Linked DNA regions of Saccharomyces cerevisiae S288C. The protein of the gene in region 1 interacts with the protein of each later gene in a pairwise test. Each region holds a gene or a part of one and is shown on either strand. Other genes may lie near its edges.

Region 1 (9,242 bases):
GATTTTTCACCGTCCAACAAAAATTTTAAGTCAGCTAAATCGATTTACGAAATGGTTGATGTGGAATTCTCGAAATTTTTAAGGCATGTTCAGTTACTTTATTTTGTGTTACAGAGCTCAGTCTTCTCAGATGATAATACTTTACCACAGTTGCTCCCAAGATTTTTTAAAGGTTCATTTAGCGGTGGTTCTTGGACAAATCCATTTTCGACTTTTATTACGGATGAATTTGGTAATGCGACAAAGAACAAAGCTGTCACATCTAATGAAGTGACCGCTTCGTCGTCCAAAAATTCCTCAATATCAAGGATTCCACCAAAGATGGCAGATGCTATTGCCTCTGCGTCAGGATATAGCGCTAATTCAGAAACAAATTCCCAAATTGATTTAAAAGCAAGCAGTGCCGCGTCTGGTTCAGTTTTTACACCTTTCAACCGTCCTTCTCATAACAGAACCTTTTCAAGAGCAAGAGTTTCAAAAAGGAAGAAAAAATATCCATTAACTGTAGACACTTTGAATACAATGAAGAAGAAATCCTCGCAAATTTTTGAAAAATTAAATAATGCTACAGGTGAACACTTAAAAATTATAAGTAAACCCAAAAGCAGAATTAGGAATTTGGAAATAAATTCAAGCACATACGAACAAATAAATCAGAATGTTTTACTATTGGAGATACTGGAGAATTTAGATCTGTCAATTTTCATCAATTTGAAAAACCTGATTAAGACACCCAGTATTTTGTTGGATTTGGAAAGCGAGGAATTTTTAGTTCACGCCATGTCTTCGGTCTCCTCAGTACTAACAGAGTTTTTTGATATAAAGCAGGCTTTTCATGACATCGTCATCAGATTAATAATGACAACGCAACAAACGACCTTAGACGACCCGTATTTGTTTTCCTCAATGAGGTCCAATTTCCCTGTCGGACATCATGAACCTTTCAAGAATATCTCTAATACACCTTTGGTCAAGGGCCCCTTCCATAAAAAAAATGAACAATTGGCACTCTCCTTATTTCACGTATTGGTGAGTCAAGATGTGGAGTTCAATAACCTTGAATTTTTAAACAACTCCGACGATTTTAAAGATGCTTGTGAAAAGTATGTCGAGATTTCTAATCTTGCGTGTATTATTGTTGATCAATTGATTGAAGAAAGAGAAAATTTGCTGAACTACGCAGCAAGAATGATGAAGAATAATTTGACTGCAGAACTATTGAAAGGTGAGCAAGAAAAATGGTTTGATATTTATTCCGAGGACTATAGTGATGACGATTCAGAAAATGATGAAGCTATCATCGATGACGAATTAGGATCTGAGGACTATATTGAACGCAAAGCTGCGAACATAGAGAAAAACCTTCCATGGTTTTTAACTTCAGATTATGAAACTAGTCTTGTCTATGACTCAAGAGGAAAAATTCGTGGCGGGACAAAAGAGGCACTGATTGAACATTTAACCAGTCATGAACTTGTTGATGCGGCTTTCAATGTTACAATGTTAATAACTTTCAGAAGTATATTAACCACAAGAGAGTTTTTTTATGCCCTGATTTACAGGTACAACTTGTATCCTCCTGAAGGGCTGAGTTACGATGATTACAATATTTGGATAGAAAAAAAGTCAAACCCGATTAAATGCCGTGTGGTCAACATTATGAGAACATTTTTGACGCAGTATTGGACAAGAAATTATTATGAACCTGGCATACCACTGATTCTAAATTTTGCCAAGATGGTTGTATCGGAGAAAATACCGGGGGCAGAGGATCTTTTGCAAAAGATAAATGAAAAACTGATAAATGAGAATGAGAAAGAACCAGTGGATCCTAAGCAACAAGATTCGGTATCGGCAGTCGTACAGACAACTAAACGTGACAATAAATCACCGATACACATGTCTTCGTCTTCTTTACCATCTTCTGCTTCTTCAGCGTTTTTTAGATTGAAGAAATTGAAGCTCTTGGATATTGACCCATACACATATGCCACACAATTGACTGTACTTGAACATGACTTATACCTCAGGATCACTATGTTTGAATGCTTGGATAGGGCATGGGGTACCAAGTATTGTAATATGGGTGGTTCTCCGAACATTACGAAATTTATAGCTAATGCTAATACGCTAACTAATTTTGTTTCTCATACCATTGTAAAACAGGCAGATGTCAAGACACGTTCAAAATTAACGCAATATTTTGTTACCGTTGCCCAGCATTGTAAAGAGTTGAATAATTTTTCTTCAATGACTGCCATAGTGTCCGCTTTGTATTCCTCCCCAATCTACCGACTGAAAAAGACATGGGATTTAGTTTCCACTGAGTCGAAGGACCTTCTGAAGAACCTAAACAACCTTATGGATTCCAAGAGAAATTTTGTGAAGTATAGAGAGCTGTTGCGATCCGTGACGGACGTTGCATGTGTTCCCTTTTTTGGTGTATACCTATCTGATTTAACATTTACGTTTGTCGGAAACCCAGATTTTCTTCACAATTCAACCAACATAATAAACTTCAGCAAGAGGACTAAAATCGCAAATATAGTGGAGGAAATTATAAGCTTTAAAAGATTCCATTACAAGCTGAAACGATTGGATGATATTCAGACCGTTATAGAAGCGTCTTTGGAAAATGTCCCCCACATTGAAAAGCAGTATCAATTATCACTGCAAGTGGAACCGAGATCAGGAAACACCAAAGGCAGTACGCATGCTTCTTCTGCTAGCGGTACAAAAACTGCAAAATTCCTAAGTGAATTTACAGATGATAAAAATGGCAATTTTTTGAAGCTAGGTAAGAAAAAACCTCCTTCTAGGTTATTTCGATAAAAGTTTATACAATTTGCTAATCAAGAAGAACCTTAGCTTTATGTTTGATTGCTACACTCTATTATTTAAGATGGCTGCTTTTACTTAATATTCTTCGTGATAATACTGTACTGGTGGAGTGTTTTTCGTTTTCGAGGATTTGAGAGTACGCTTCATTTGCAGTTCTTCTTGATAAAGTTCGTTTTATATATATATATCTATTTTATATCTTTATATATTTTATTACACCCAGTTAAGTTATCGATCCAAGATTTTAAATGCCCGATTAGAGGAAACTTATTACCTGAAAAAATATCAATTAGTGATTCTATGAAAAGCTATTACCCGCATTCTCATAGTTCGGATTTTCAGATCCAGCAATATAAGAGAACCAAATGTAGCAGAAACGTCAAATAGTAAGCAACAGGAGTTACATTTGAGGTGATTTTAACTTAGGGAAACATTTGCTGATTCAATGTTCAAACAGCTGTCACAAATTGGTAAGAATCTTACCGATGAATTAGCGAAGGGCTTAGCCGATGATATGAGCCCTACCCCGTCAGAACAACAAATCGAAGATGATAAGAGTGGCTTGCCAAAAGAAATACAAGCTAAATTAAGAAAATTTGAGAAATATGAACAAAAATACCCTTTGCTACTCTCCGCATACAAAAATGAAAAATTAAAGTCAGAGAAGTTAGAGGCTGTTGAAAAGATTTTAGCGGAAAATACACCCATATCTAATATTGACGACGCAGTGGATACGTTGCCAGCTTTTTTCCAGGATTTAAACAACAAAAATAACCTATTGAATGATGAGATCAAGAGATTAACTAAGCAGAACTCGGAAATTCCAGAAAGCGCCTCTAGTGAAACTCTGAAGGATAAAGAAGAGGAATTTTTGAAAAAAGAGCAAAATTATAAAAATGACATAGACGATCTAAAAAAAAAAATGGAAGCTTTAAACATAGAATTGGATACTGTACAAAAAGAAAAAAATGATACTGTTTCAGGTTTGAGAGAAAAAATAGTTGCACTGGAAAATATACTAAAGGAAGAAAGGGAGGCCAAAAAACAGAAAGAAGAAGTATCTATATCCGAACTGAAGGAAGAATTGGCTATAAAGAACCATTCTCTCGAGGACAGTCGAATGAAGATAACCGAATTGGAGCAAAATTTGTCTTCGAAAAGTACTATAATGGAGGAAAAGTCCTCAGAGTTGGCAGAACTAAATATTACTTTAAAAGAGAAAGAGCGCAAGCTGAGTGAATTGGAAAAAAAAATGAAGGAGTTACCGAAGGCGATATCTCATCAAAATGTAGGAAACAATAACAGAAGGAAAAAGAATAGAAACAAGGGAAAGAAAAATAAGGGAGGCATAACTACGGGTGATATCAGTGAAGAGGAAACGGTCGATAACTCAATCAATACTGAAGAATATGATAAGCTTAAAGAAAATTTGCAAGAATTACAAGAAAAATATAAAGATTGTGAAGATTGGAAGCAAAAGTATGAAGATATAGAAGCAGAACTAAAAGATGCTAAAGAATTGGAAAACTCACAGCTCGAAAAATCAGCAAAGGAGCTGGAAACCCTTAACACCGAGTTGATCGATACCAAGAAGTCATTGAAAGAAAAAAATTCGGAGCTAGAGGAGGTGAGAGATATGCTGAGGACTGTAGGCAATGAGCTTGTGGACGCAAAAGATGAGATTAAAGAGTCTTCGAGTAAACAAAATGAAGAAGTGAAAACCGTTAAGCTGGAGCTCGATGATTTACGCCATAAAAATGCAACGATGATCGAGGCCTACGAAGCTAAAAATACTGAGTTGAGAAGTAAGATAGAGTTATTGAGCAAGAAAGTAGAGCATCTGAAGAATTTATGTACAGAAAAGGAGAAAGAGCAGACTACATCGCAGAACAAGGTAGCCAAATTAAATGAGGAGATATCTCAACTTACCTACGAAAAATCAAACATAACAAAGGAGCTTACTTCTTTAAGAACCTCTTATAAACAAAAGGAAAAAACTGTGAGTTACTTGGAGGAACAAGTTAAACAATTTAGTGAGCAAAAGGACGTGGCTGAAAAATCCACAGAACAGCTGAGAAAAGATCATGCTAAAATTTCTAACAGATTAGACTTATTAAAAAAGGAAAATGAGACACTGCATAATGATATCGCAAAGAATTCTAATTCCTACGAGGAGTATTTGAAAGAAAATGGTAAATTATCGGAAAGATTGAATATTTTGCAAGAAAAATACAATACCTTGCAAAATGTAAAAAGTAATTCGAATGAACACATAGATTCTATCAAAAGACAATGTGAGGAACTAAATGTCAAGTTGAAGGAATCTACAAAAAAAATTTTATCTTTAGAAGATGAACTAAATGAATATGCTAATATTGTTCAAGACAAAACCAGAGAAGCTAACACATTGAGAAGGTTAGTTTCGGACAGTCAGACAGATGATTCGAGCAAACAAAAAGAGTTGGAGAATAAATTGGCCTATTTAACGGATGAAAAGAATAAATTGGAAGCAGAATTAGACTTACAAACATCCAGAAAGGCCACTGAATTACAAGAGTGGAAGCATACAGTAACTGAGCTGAAATCGGAAATACACGCTTTAAAGCTTCGTGAAGAGGGACTAAAATCAGAGGTTGACGCATTGAAACATGTTAACAATGACATCAAAAGGAAGACTCAAGCCACTTCAGATGATTCCGATCAGTTGGAACAGATCACATCTAATTTAAAACTCTCATTGTCTAAGGCTGATGAAAAGAATTTTGAGCTACAGTCTGCCAATGAGAAACTTCTGAATTTAAATAACGAACTTAACAAGAAATTTGATCGATTACTAAAAAATTATCGTTCATTGTCCTCTCAATTGAATGCTTTAAAGGAAAGACAATACAGTGACAAGTCAGGAAGAGTTAGTAGGTCTGGTTCTATCGGTACTCTAGCTAACGCGAATATTGATTCCTCACCAGCGAATAACTCTAATCCAACTAAATTAGAGAAGATACGATCATCAAGTTCATTGGAGTTAGACTCTGAGAAAAATGAAAAAATTGCATATATAAAAAATGTTTTGTTGGGATTTTTGGAGCACAAGGAACAACGGAACCAATTACTTCCTGTAATTTCTATGTTGTTACAACTGGACAGTACTGATGAAAAAAGACTGGTTATGTCTCTGAAGTAAAAATGTAGCTGAAAGCAGAAGATACGTATATATTGAAACAGTTTTTTTCTTCCTGAAATATATCAAGAAGTTGCTGCATGTCTATATATAAAATACTAAAGCAATTTCTTTTTAAATTGTAATTTAATTCTTCCTTATTTTCTTCAATTCCCTGAAAATTAGGACAAGAATTCTTTTATGTAATCAATTCCGCCGACACAATGAGAAACTGTTGATTGATCATCACCTATCAACTTATTTATTTTAATGGCAAGATCGACAGTTTTTTCCGTTGAATCGTGTTCTAATATTAATCCGGTTCCTGACTTGTTCCAGTTTATTACATTTTGAAGAATTTCTTGTTCAGTTATGACAGAATCATTGAGAAGGAGGCTCCAATCAAAAGTATCGTGATCCCATAAGACGGCTTGTAAGCCAAATTGCCTTGTTATTGCTCTTACTCTATTATCTATTCCGCCATATGGAGGTCTGAACCATTTGGGGGTATGGTTGCCAGTAGCATTCATCGCCCAGATGGACCATTCAATTTGAGCTATAATTTTTTCATTCGATACATTTGGCAAATATACGTGAGACCAGGTATGTGAGCCGATTAAGTGTCCCTCCTTTTGCATTCTTTGATAGATATCTGGATGTTGAACTATATTGACACCTAAATTGAAGAAGGTGGAATTATGCTTCAACCGGTCCAATAATTTAGTAGTGGAAGCAGAAGGACCATCGTCAAATGTCTGGGAAAGTTTGGAACATGTGTACACATCATCGTGTTCGGTGCAGTGATGGCAATCGAAAGAGCACGAGTCCCTTGGAACACTGTCGCAATGGTTTTGATCATATTCCTTATAATCTGGAATTTGACTGAAATCAATGAAATCTAAAGGTATATAAGGTGGATCTAACCCAGGCCATTCTTTTAACCCGGTAAATGCACTAAGCCAATCCGGAAAAGGCGTTTTTGTAGCTGCCCTTTCCAATACAGGAAATTGAAAGTCTATCTGCTTTAAATCTTCCCTATTAGCTTCCGCGTGAACAAATTGCCCCAGACAGGAAAGTGCAATAATACATTGCAAATCAATTGTATTTAGTTGTATTCTCATTTTCAATTGCCGATCCGTAGAAATAATAACAACTCTTTTGCAGTTTGTTTACCCACTGTGGGTTTTTGATAAATAATAGAGGATTACTGAAGGAGAGAGAATATTTTAAATGGATTTTGATAATACTACAAAAGAATAGCCAGTAATTTTTGCGTTGCGTCACAAAATCAAATATCTAGTTTGTTCCCTGACGCATGTTTCTCATGTGTTACCCGTCCTTTTGTAACCTTCACTGCTACAGCCGTACTATGTGGCATTTATGGGTTAATAGAAAGTTCCATTAATCCGACATTAAAATTGGATGGATTAATGGAGAACACAAAGGCAAAAAAACAATGGAAGAACAAAGAAAATTTAGCGGAAGTAAAAATAACAGCCGAAAGCCAAATTCAGGCTTATCTTGCCTACTCTTTCTTTTATCGAATTCCTTTAGGCCGTTGCAATAGAAAAGTAATAAAAACGCATATACGTAAGTTGTAGTCAGTGTAATTGCAATCTATTATGCGCATCAGGTGCGCATACTACATCCATTGGTGCACAAAAAAAGGAACGCAGACAAGAAAATTATTCAGTTTGCTGTTCGTGATGAGCCATCCCTGAATATGACTAATGTTAATGTTCAATTTGGGATCTTATTTTTTTTTGTGCAGTAATAAGAATCTTTGAAAAAAAACTATATAAGCCTATATAGTTTGTAAGATATAAGACAAAACACACCTGCTTTTCCACTACACATTTTCGTTATTATATAAAAAAGACAGCCAAGTATACTTGTCAACAAAATAAACTCATAGCAATTACACTATAAAAACAATAGCATCAAAAATGTCACTAAGAAACATATCAATGATCACAAAAAATTTGCAAACAACTGCCAAGTGTTATGTCCCAAAAAGTTCACCTACATCAACAACTATTCCGGTTATAAGGGATGCTAGTACTACTCAATGTCGCAGAATAACTACCGTCATCAATATTACGAGTCTGAAAGGATATTCTCCATCTCCAAGAACAGTTCATGATAAGCCAATTGTTATTTGCACTGACAACGAAGAGGTAGAGACTGTATCGGAGCACGTAAAAGTATAATTTGAATTAATCTACTCTTAACACTGTTCAAATGTACGTGTAACGTTTTGACGCTAAAAGATTCTAAAAAATTACTTTTTAAAGTTATACCCTCTGACTTTATGTGACATCAGCATCCTAAGTACCTACCGTTCATAATTTGACGCTTTTCCTTATACATTCAAGCATCGATATATATGATTTTTATATATGTCCTCTATTCTAATACATACTTTTTTACTTTTGAAATAACAAAATATTCTTTTTATTTTTGCGAGTTGAATAATTAAATAAGAGATCAAAGATATATAGAGAGAAACTTTATTTCTCGGAAATCTTACTTCTAGTCGTAGCGTTCGATGTAGTCTGTATCACCAATACATTCTGCAATTGTCAATTGGTCACTACCAATAAGTTCGTTGATTTTAATAGCAACCTCAACTGTTCTTCGTGCACCATCGTGCTCTAAGATCAAACCTTTCCGTTTTCCCTTCCAAGTATTTATGTCCATAAGTATTTCTTCCTCTGTTCTGAAATCATCATTAGTGATTAATTTCCAATCAAAAGTATCGAGATCCCACAAGACAACCGTTAGGCCAAACTGTTTTACTATAGCTCTAACCCTATTATCAATTGCACCGTATGGAGGCCTAAAATACTTGGGGAAATGTTTGCCTGTGGCATTCATAGCCCAAATTGACCATTCAATTTGGGCTACAATTTCTTCGTTTGATAAACTTGGCAAGAATTCATGTGACCACGTGTGTGTACCAATCAAATGACCCCTCTCTAAAATATGCTCATATATATCAGGATAATTAACAGTGTTTATCCCCAGAACAAAAAAAGTGGTTCTTTGTCTCAATTTCTTGAGCAATGCCTCTGTCGCCGGGGCCGGACCGTCGTCAAATGTTTGGGAAAGTTTGAAACACGAAGTTACATCATCAACATCGATGCAGTTATAGCAGTCAAATGAGCACTGCTCTCTAGAAATTTTGGGACACTGGCCAGGATAGTACCTATCTAATTCTGGCACTTCAGTAAGATTTATGTAA
Region 2 (6,325 bases), on another chromosome or scaffold:
ATAATTTCACAAAAAAAGCCAACGAACAATTCGAAAGGCGTTTAACATGAATATACATATATACCTGTGTATATTCATAAGATATTGAGAAATGAATCCATGAAACTCATACTGCAGTAGTTGTTACGATTTATAATGCTCTATAAATTACATTAAATGCCTTTATATACAATAAAAATGCGCTAAGAGTAGGTGACTTATTTTGAATCAGAAACTTTTTGCTTTGCTACAGCGGCTGCATTAGTGACAACTTCTTGTAACCATGAAAGTTCAATCCTACTAACATTTCTGGCATATCCCTTCGTAGTAAAGACATACTCCGTGTACATTATACCGGGGCAGCTTTTATTCATAAATAGCATAGATGATGGATGAATGCTTATCGGCTCTCCAGTGGAAACAGTTCTATAAGACCTGTCTGGCATCCCTATAGCTGTATTCTTGATAAACCCAGTTAAGAAACACTTTAAAATTTTCGAAATTAGCTCGCCATCTTCACCAATCTTTTTGGATTCTTCATCCTCTTCACTGATTGAAGAAAACAAACGCTTACAATAAACTCTTAACTGGTCTCTGACACGAATTACATTTTTAAACCCACGTATCGAAATACACAATCCTTTACACCAATCATTTCTTTCAGAGCTTGCATCTTGACTTTTCCCTAGTTCGTAGAAATAGATATCAAAAAGCTCTTTCAGCATGATAAGGTCACCATACCTTTTACCAGCGTTGCATAAGGACAAACGACGCTCGTTCACCTCATCTCTTTCTTCTGGTGACGGATTCAACAGTAAATTTTCCACACTAAGGCAAGAGACGATATCAATGACCTGACTCAAACATCCGACTTCACTGGCTTTAATTAAGACACTACTTAAATGCGGTTGTAGCGGTAACAGAGCCATTTGTTGACCCCGTTTAGTTATCTTTCCACGAGTGTCAAGAGCACCCAATTCATAAAGTTCCTGAAGCCCCATTACTATAGCTTCCTTTCCAGGGTTCTCAAACCAGGTCCAGTTTAGCAGGTCATCAACACCATATCTCTTCAACATTAACACAGGAGATGTGACGTCACTTCTGGCTATTTCAGGTTCACTTTGTTTAGGTAATTTCACATAATCAGACTCACAATAAAGCCTGAAACTCTTTCCTTCACTTTCTCTACCAGCACGACCACTTCTCTGCATCGCACTTGCCTGAGAAATGGGTACGGTAAGTAGAGTGGCTAATCCCAGCTGATGTCTCCAAACTTTGACTTTTCGAAGACCAGAATCAACGACAAATTTAACACCGGATATGGTAACAGATGTTTCTGCAATATTGGTACTAAAGACGACTTTTCTCTTGAAACCCTTTATCGGAGCGAAGACCAAGGACTGTTGGACCGCGGGAAGAGCTGCATATAAAGGATAAGGAACTATTAATGGTACTGGGGCCTCATCTGAAACATACTTTGCAATTTTCTCCATTATAGTCACTGCTTTGTCAATCTCTTCTTGGCCCGGTAAAAAACATAAGATATCTCCCAGTTCTTCACCTTGGTTTATTTGTATACAACACCTGATGACAGCGTCTACTATATCATCTGTTGGCGCCTTCAAGTAGTATTGTTTGACATCAAATTTTCTTCCTTCTACAAATAAGATTGGGGCATTATTGAAGAACTCACTAAATTTTTCGGCTTGCAATGTTGCAGACATAACAATTATTCTCAAATCAGGTCTTGGCCCTTGTATCAAGGATTTTAAGAACCCCAATATCAAATCTGTAAGCACAGTTCTTTCATGCGCTTCATCGATAACGATGACGCTGTATTCTCTAAGGTCACTATTCATCATAAGTTCTCTAAGTAACATACCGTCAGTCAGATACTTAAGTCTTGTTCTTGTAGTAGTCGTATTGTCAAATCTGACAGAATAACCTACTTGTTCACCCAGTTTGCAACCATGTTCTTGAGCAACACGTGTAGCCAAATTGATGGCCGCAACACGACGGGGTTGAGTTACAGCAATCGACCCATGCTTCTTCGTATCATATAATTTTTCTAATACGAATTGCGGAATTTGTGTTGATTTACCAGAACCTGTTTCACCAATAAGGACGGTAACGGGATTGCTTTCAATATATGACATTATTTCTCGCTTGTGTTGGTAAACGGGAAGTGTTTCTCTCATTTTGAGTAAATCGCTTGCCCGACTTTTCAAAGATTTATAAGTAAGGACATTTTCCTTGTTCGAACGTTGGTCTGAAACATGGTCGCCCTCGCCTGAATCATTAAACTTTACGATTTTACTAGCTCTTTTAATCCGAGTGTTATTCGTGAATGGATGTATATTCCTCCTAACCTTTTGTTTTTTAGAAGTATGGTTTGATGCAACTCTACTATTGCTATTTGCTGCCATGATAATGTCTGCAGACTCTTGCAACCTCTTCTTGAGGAATTCTTACATATATATCATAACCTCATCTCATCTCATCGAGCAGAATTTTTTATTTTCAATTTTTCTCATTTTTCCAAATCATTGTAAACGAATAGCCGCCGAAGAAAAACGGTAGAAGAAAAGTACATCTTTCAGTCAGCATTATACGTACAAATTATTAGCGTTATCATCATGATTATAATTACAAAGATACTACACAGTTGTATCGTACAATTATCGAACTTAATTATAGTCAGCTTCCAGAAGAGGGACTTTTTGGAGTACTCGAAGTGACTTTTATCGAATGGAGGTTTAATCCCTTCTTGAACGGTCTTGCCACAAAAGACTCCTGTGATCCAGTGGTTGCTATACTGCTAGAAGAAACCTTTCTCGCGCCCCATACTAAAGGTTTTGAGGAAGTATTGGCTGACCAAGGGCTATTTGATATTTCAGAACCCTCCTCGATATGCAACATAGTATTTCCTGATGACGAGCTCATAGACCCTCTTCTAGGAGATGGGATTGCAGATTTATTAAGAGAAAGCTCTTTGACAGAACTTTCCAAAGATTTTATCCTTTCACTGCGTGTTTCAGTAAGTTTAGTGTGAGTTTCTAGTTCACCCTTTAAGATGGCGTTAGTAGTTAAAAGCTCTTGAATCTCTCTTTCCTGAAGCTGAATTTGTTCTAGTAGCCTAACGTTCATAGACTCTAAGGCTTCCTCTTTTGACTTTTTGTATTCTAACTCTTGCTGCAACTTAGAATTGGAATTCATCTGTCGATCAAAAGATAACTCAAGCTGAGCAATCTGTTCGCATCTTTTCGTTAATATTTCAGAAACTTCTTCGTCAATACGATTGTTAGGATCTTCATTGGTAGAACTACTCAATAATTGGGTAATACTGTCTAATTGAAGCTTTAGTTTGATATTTTCTTTCTTTGTATTTTCTAACATTTTTTTCTCGTCGTCTTCGGGAAGAGATTTATTGTGAAGGCTTTTTAAAGAGTCTATTTCAGCCTTTAGTATATTAATTTGGGCAACATAATTATCATCCTTAATTTTCATGTCCTGAATAAATAGATCCATTTTTTTTTTCAGATTTAAACCTGTGGTGTTATCTGTAACCTTGTTATTGATCTGTCTAATACTGTCACCAAATTCTAGTGTTGATAGGGTAGTTGGAACATTACTTAAGAAACATGTCAATATCACCTTTGTTTTCCTATTTCCCCCAAGGGAATCTTTTAACACTTCAGTTAATTGCGATTCACGGTAAGCAGAACTATGTGATCCTTTTGCGCTGTAGGCTGAATCACGCTCTTTCATTGACAAGGACCGCACAGTGTTTTTCAACGCCTCAATAGATTGGTTTAATTTTTTTAACGCATCTTGTGATAGCGTACTTTCAGTTCTTTTATCGAACTTCTCTGCCCCGTGTAAATCAACCAGATATAAAGAACTATTTTTTAATATATCATCTTTTCTATTCCTTTGTTCTACGTGTAATTGAAAAACTAGGTGTGATCTTGATCTCTCTGTCTTGTCGCCACATGCCATCCTATTGCCGACGTTTTGGACTGCCTGAATGTAGCTTCTTAAGTCTTCATACGATCCGACATGTGCCGGACAAATATCTTTGATTTCTAAGTCCATTTTGCTTGAAGAACGGTGAAGCTTTAATGGTTTTCTTTCAGGTAAAGGTACCAATAAGTCATACGTTTTCTCCATATATATTTCGAATGCCAAAACACTTACGCTAAAACTATCTCCCTTTGTTTCTTCATTTTTTTCTAGCGTATCAAACAAGGTCTTGCATATGTTCGGTAGAATTCCTTCGCTTTCTTTTGATCCAATAAGGGAATAGGACTTTCCGCTGAAACTTGGTCCATATGTTATTACAGTACCGTTATAACCATTCAAAACATCATTTATTATTGGATGCACCAGAAATTTCTGAACATCTTCTTGAGTGGCGTTAGCATCGAATACCTTATCGAATTGAAATGTTGAATGGGTCTCCTTGGTTGTCTCATGTAACGGATTGTTTGTGCGAAATAGCACAGTATTTTCATATGGGTCTATTTTGAAGGTCGACTCATTGTTTTGTAATCCTTTTTCGGGTATCGCCCTGAGGATAACTTCGATGTGACAGGGTTCACTGCTGTCTAGAGTTGGTAACGATACAGAAGAGCTACTTTGCTCTTTCGAAATTATATTCCAGTGCATTTTAACAAGTTTGCACCTACCCTGAATGATAATTTTTTCTGGTTTAAAGTCGACCTGTAGTGCTTAATAAACCCCCTACTAGTGCTAAATCCTGTAGATTTCCGTGCCAATTTTTCTATTTTTATTTTTCTTTTTTTGATTTTTTTTTTTTTTTAATTTCCATTTTTTTAACTTCCACCTCTTTCCTTGTTAACCATAAATAAGGAAGGATTGGAACTCAACGACAAAATTGAAAAATGTCTAATCGTTCATCAAAAGCATATTTTATCGGATTATGTTCCATTACTATTCAAACATTCACAATCACAGTGTATTATCTCTATGAATAAAAAAGTTGAAAATTCTAAAAAAAAAACAGAAATATATATTAATCTAAGTTAGTATTATAAATCGATTATAAATTGATTATATACATCACAAATGGTTCATACTCTGTGTCGACAAGAGAAGCATATTGGTGAAGAGAAGTATCTTGCTTGTTAATTTTCCCTTTTTTATCCTTCATGAAGGCATTGCCACCAAGAAATCCAAAAGCATCAATTAATTCAGACTTGCATTTAGAGAGATTCTTTGGTGGGACAGCTATAATCTTGATGTTAAAGTGAGGTGGCAACCCGTAACGCAAAACAGATTCCACGTAAACTCTCAAGGCCTTGATGTGGAACCAATTTATAAAAACATCGACATAAGCTGTCTTGGCCAATCTTACCAACTGGACGCGCAAAGATTGTTCTAAACTGGCAGCAGAGTCATGCTCTTTTTTCAACTGGTCAATTAATTCCTCCGAGTAGTTAAATTCACGAGGAATGAATTTCTTCTCTCTAGCAGCTGTTGTGAATTCTTGAACGTTTTTCTTGAACAAATGAACATTGAACAAAACATACTCAGCATCCTCTGCAATCACGCTGGCAGATGCTGGTACAACGTTCTTGGATAAAGTTTCGTACGATTTTTCGAAATCGGATTTTAAACTTTTGGGAACTGCTACTAGAACAGTAGTTAAATGTTCAGAATTAAGAACGAAGTCTTCGGGCTTGACAATATCATGCAAGGATCTGACAGAAAGGTCACCCGTCTTCTTTCTCTCAGCAGCAGCCAAGTTAGTTTTAGCGCTGTTGTAATTTGCATAAGTAGCTCTGACGTCGGCGTCTAATTGAGAAGATTCATTAGAAATCAATGTTATCAAATCTTTGATAGACTTATCTAACTTGAACTTTCTGGTTTGCCATTGAAAATTTTCCAAGTATTCAGGAACTGGCATATTATTGATAGGTAAAGTCCTGTAAGCATTGGTGCTGGTCTCGTTGAGGCCTTGAAGAATTTCAATGATTTTGCCAATAGAAGCCCCAATTTGGTTATCTACTTTAGACAGTTCTTCCGATTCAACTATCAATGTGTCTAAAGAGCCAATTTTGAATTCGGGAATTTTGAAATCAGAAACAAATGCCCTACCCCCGATTAAGGTCTCATTGAACCATGAATCAGTTTTGGAGCCAGGGGCGGTAACAGGTTGAGCATTTTGAGGCAACGAGATTAATATGAAATCGTTTGCAGTATATAACGCAGTAGCCATTTTTTTTTTTCAGAAAAAAGAATTGATCTAGAATTAGGTAAGAAAACAAACTCTAGCAACTGCAACTTCTATATACCTCCTTTGTTTGTGTTTCTAAAGCACTGT

The links. The genes of interacting proteins can lie anywhere in the genome.
Region 2: the proteins of IMH1 (region 1) and SMY1 interact in a two-hybrid assay, tested with the Saccharomyces cerevisiae proteins (2 studies listed by BioGRID, with this or other methods).

What each region holds. Positions count from the first base shown.
Region 1 is NC_001144.5:745,814-755,055, reverse strand, and holds IMH1 (Imh1p), read left to right. Parts: upstream 1-3,286; coding exon 3,287-6,022; downstream 6,023-9,242. Other genes in the region: Ras family guanine nucleotide exchange factor CDC25, read left to right, coding at 1-2,832; chitin deacetylase CDA2, read right to left, coding at 6,181-7,119; DPA10 (Dpa10p), read left to right, coding at 7,945-8,208; chitin deacetylase CDA1, read right to left, coding at 8,531-9,242. UniProt on the Saccharomyces cerevisiae protein: Involved in vesicular transport between an endosomal compartment and the Golgi apparatus.
Region 2 is NC_001143.9:284,925-291,249, reverse strand, and holds SMY1 (Smy1p), read right to left. Parts: upstream 4,648-6,325; coding exon 2,677-4,647; downstream 1-2,676. Other genes in the region: DHR2 (RNA helicase), read right to left, coding at 198-2,405; VMA5 (H(+)-transporting V1 sector ATPase subunit C), read right to left, coding at 5,042-6,220. UniProt on the Saccharomyces cerevisiae protein: Possible microtubule-based motor that can interact or substitute with myosin 2 (MYO2).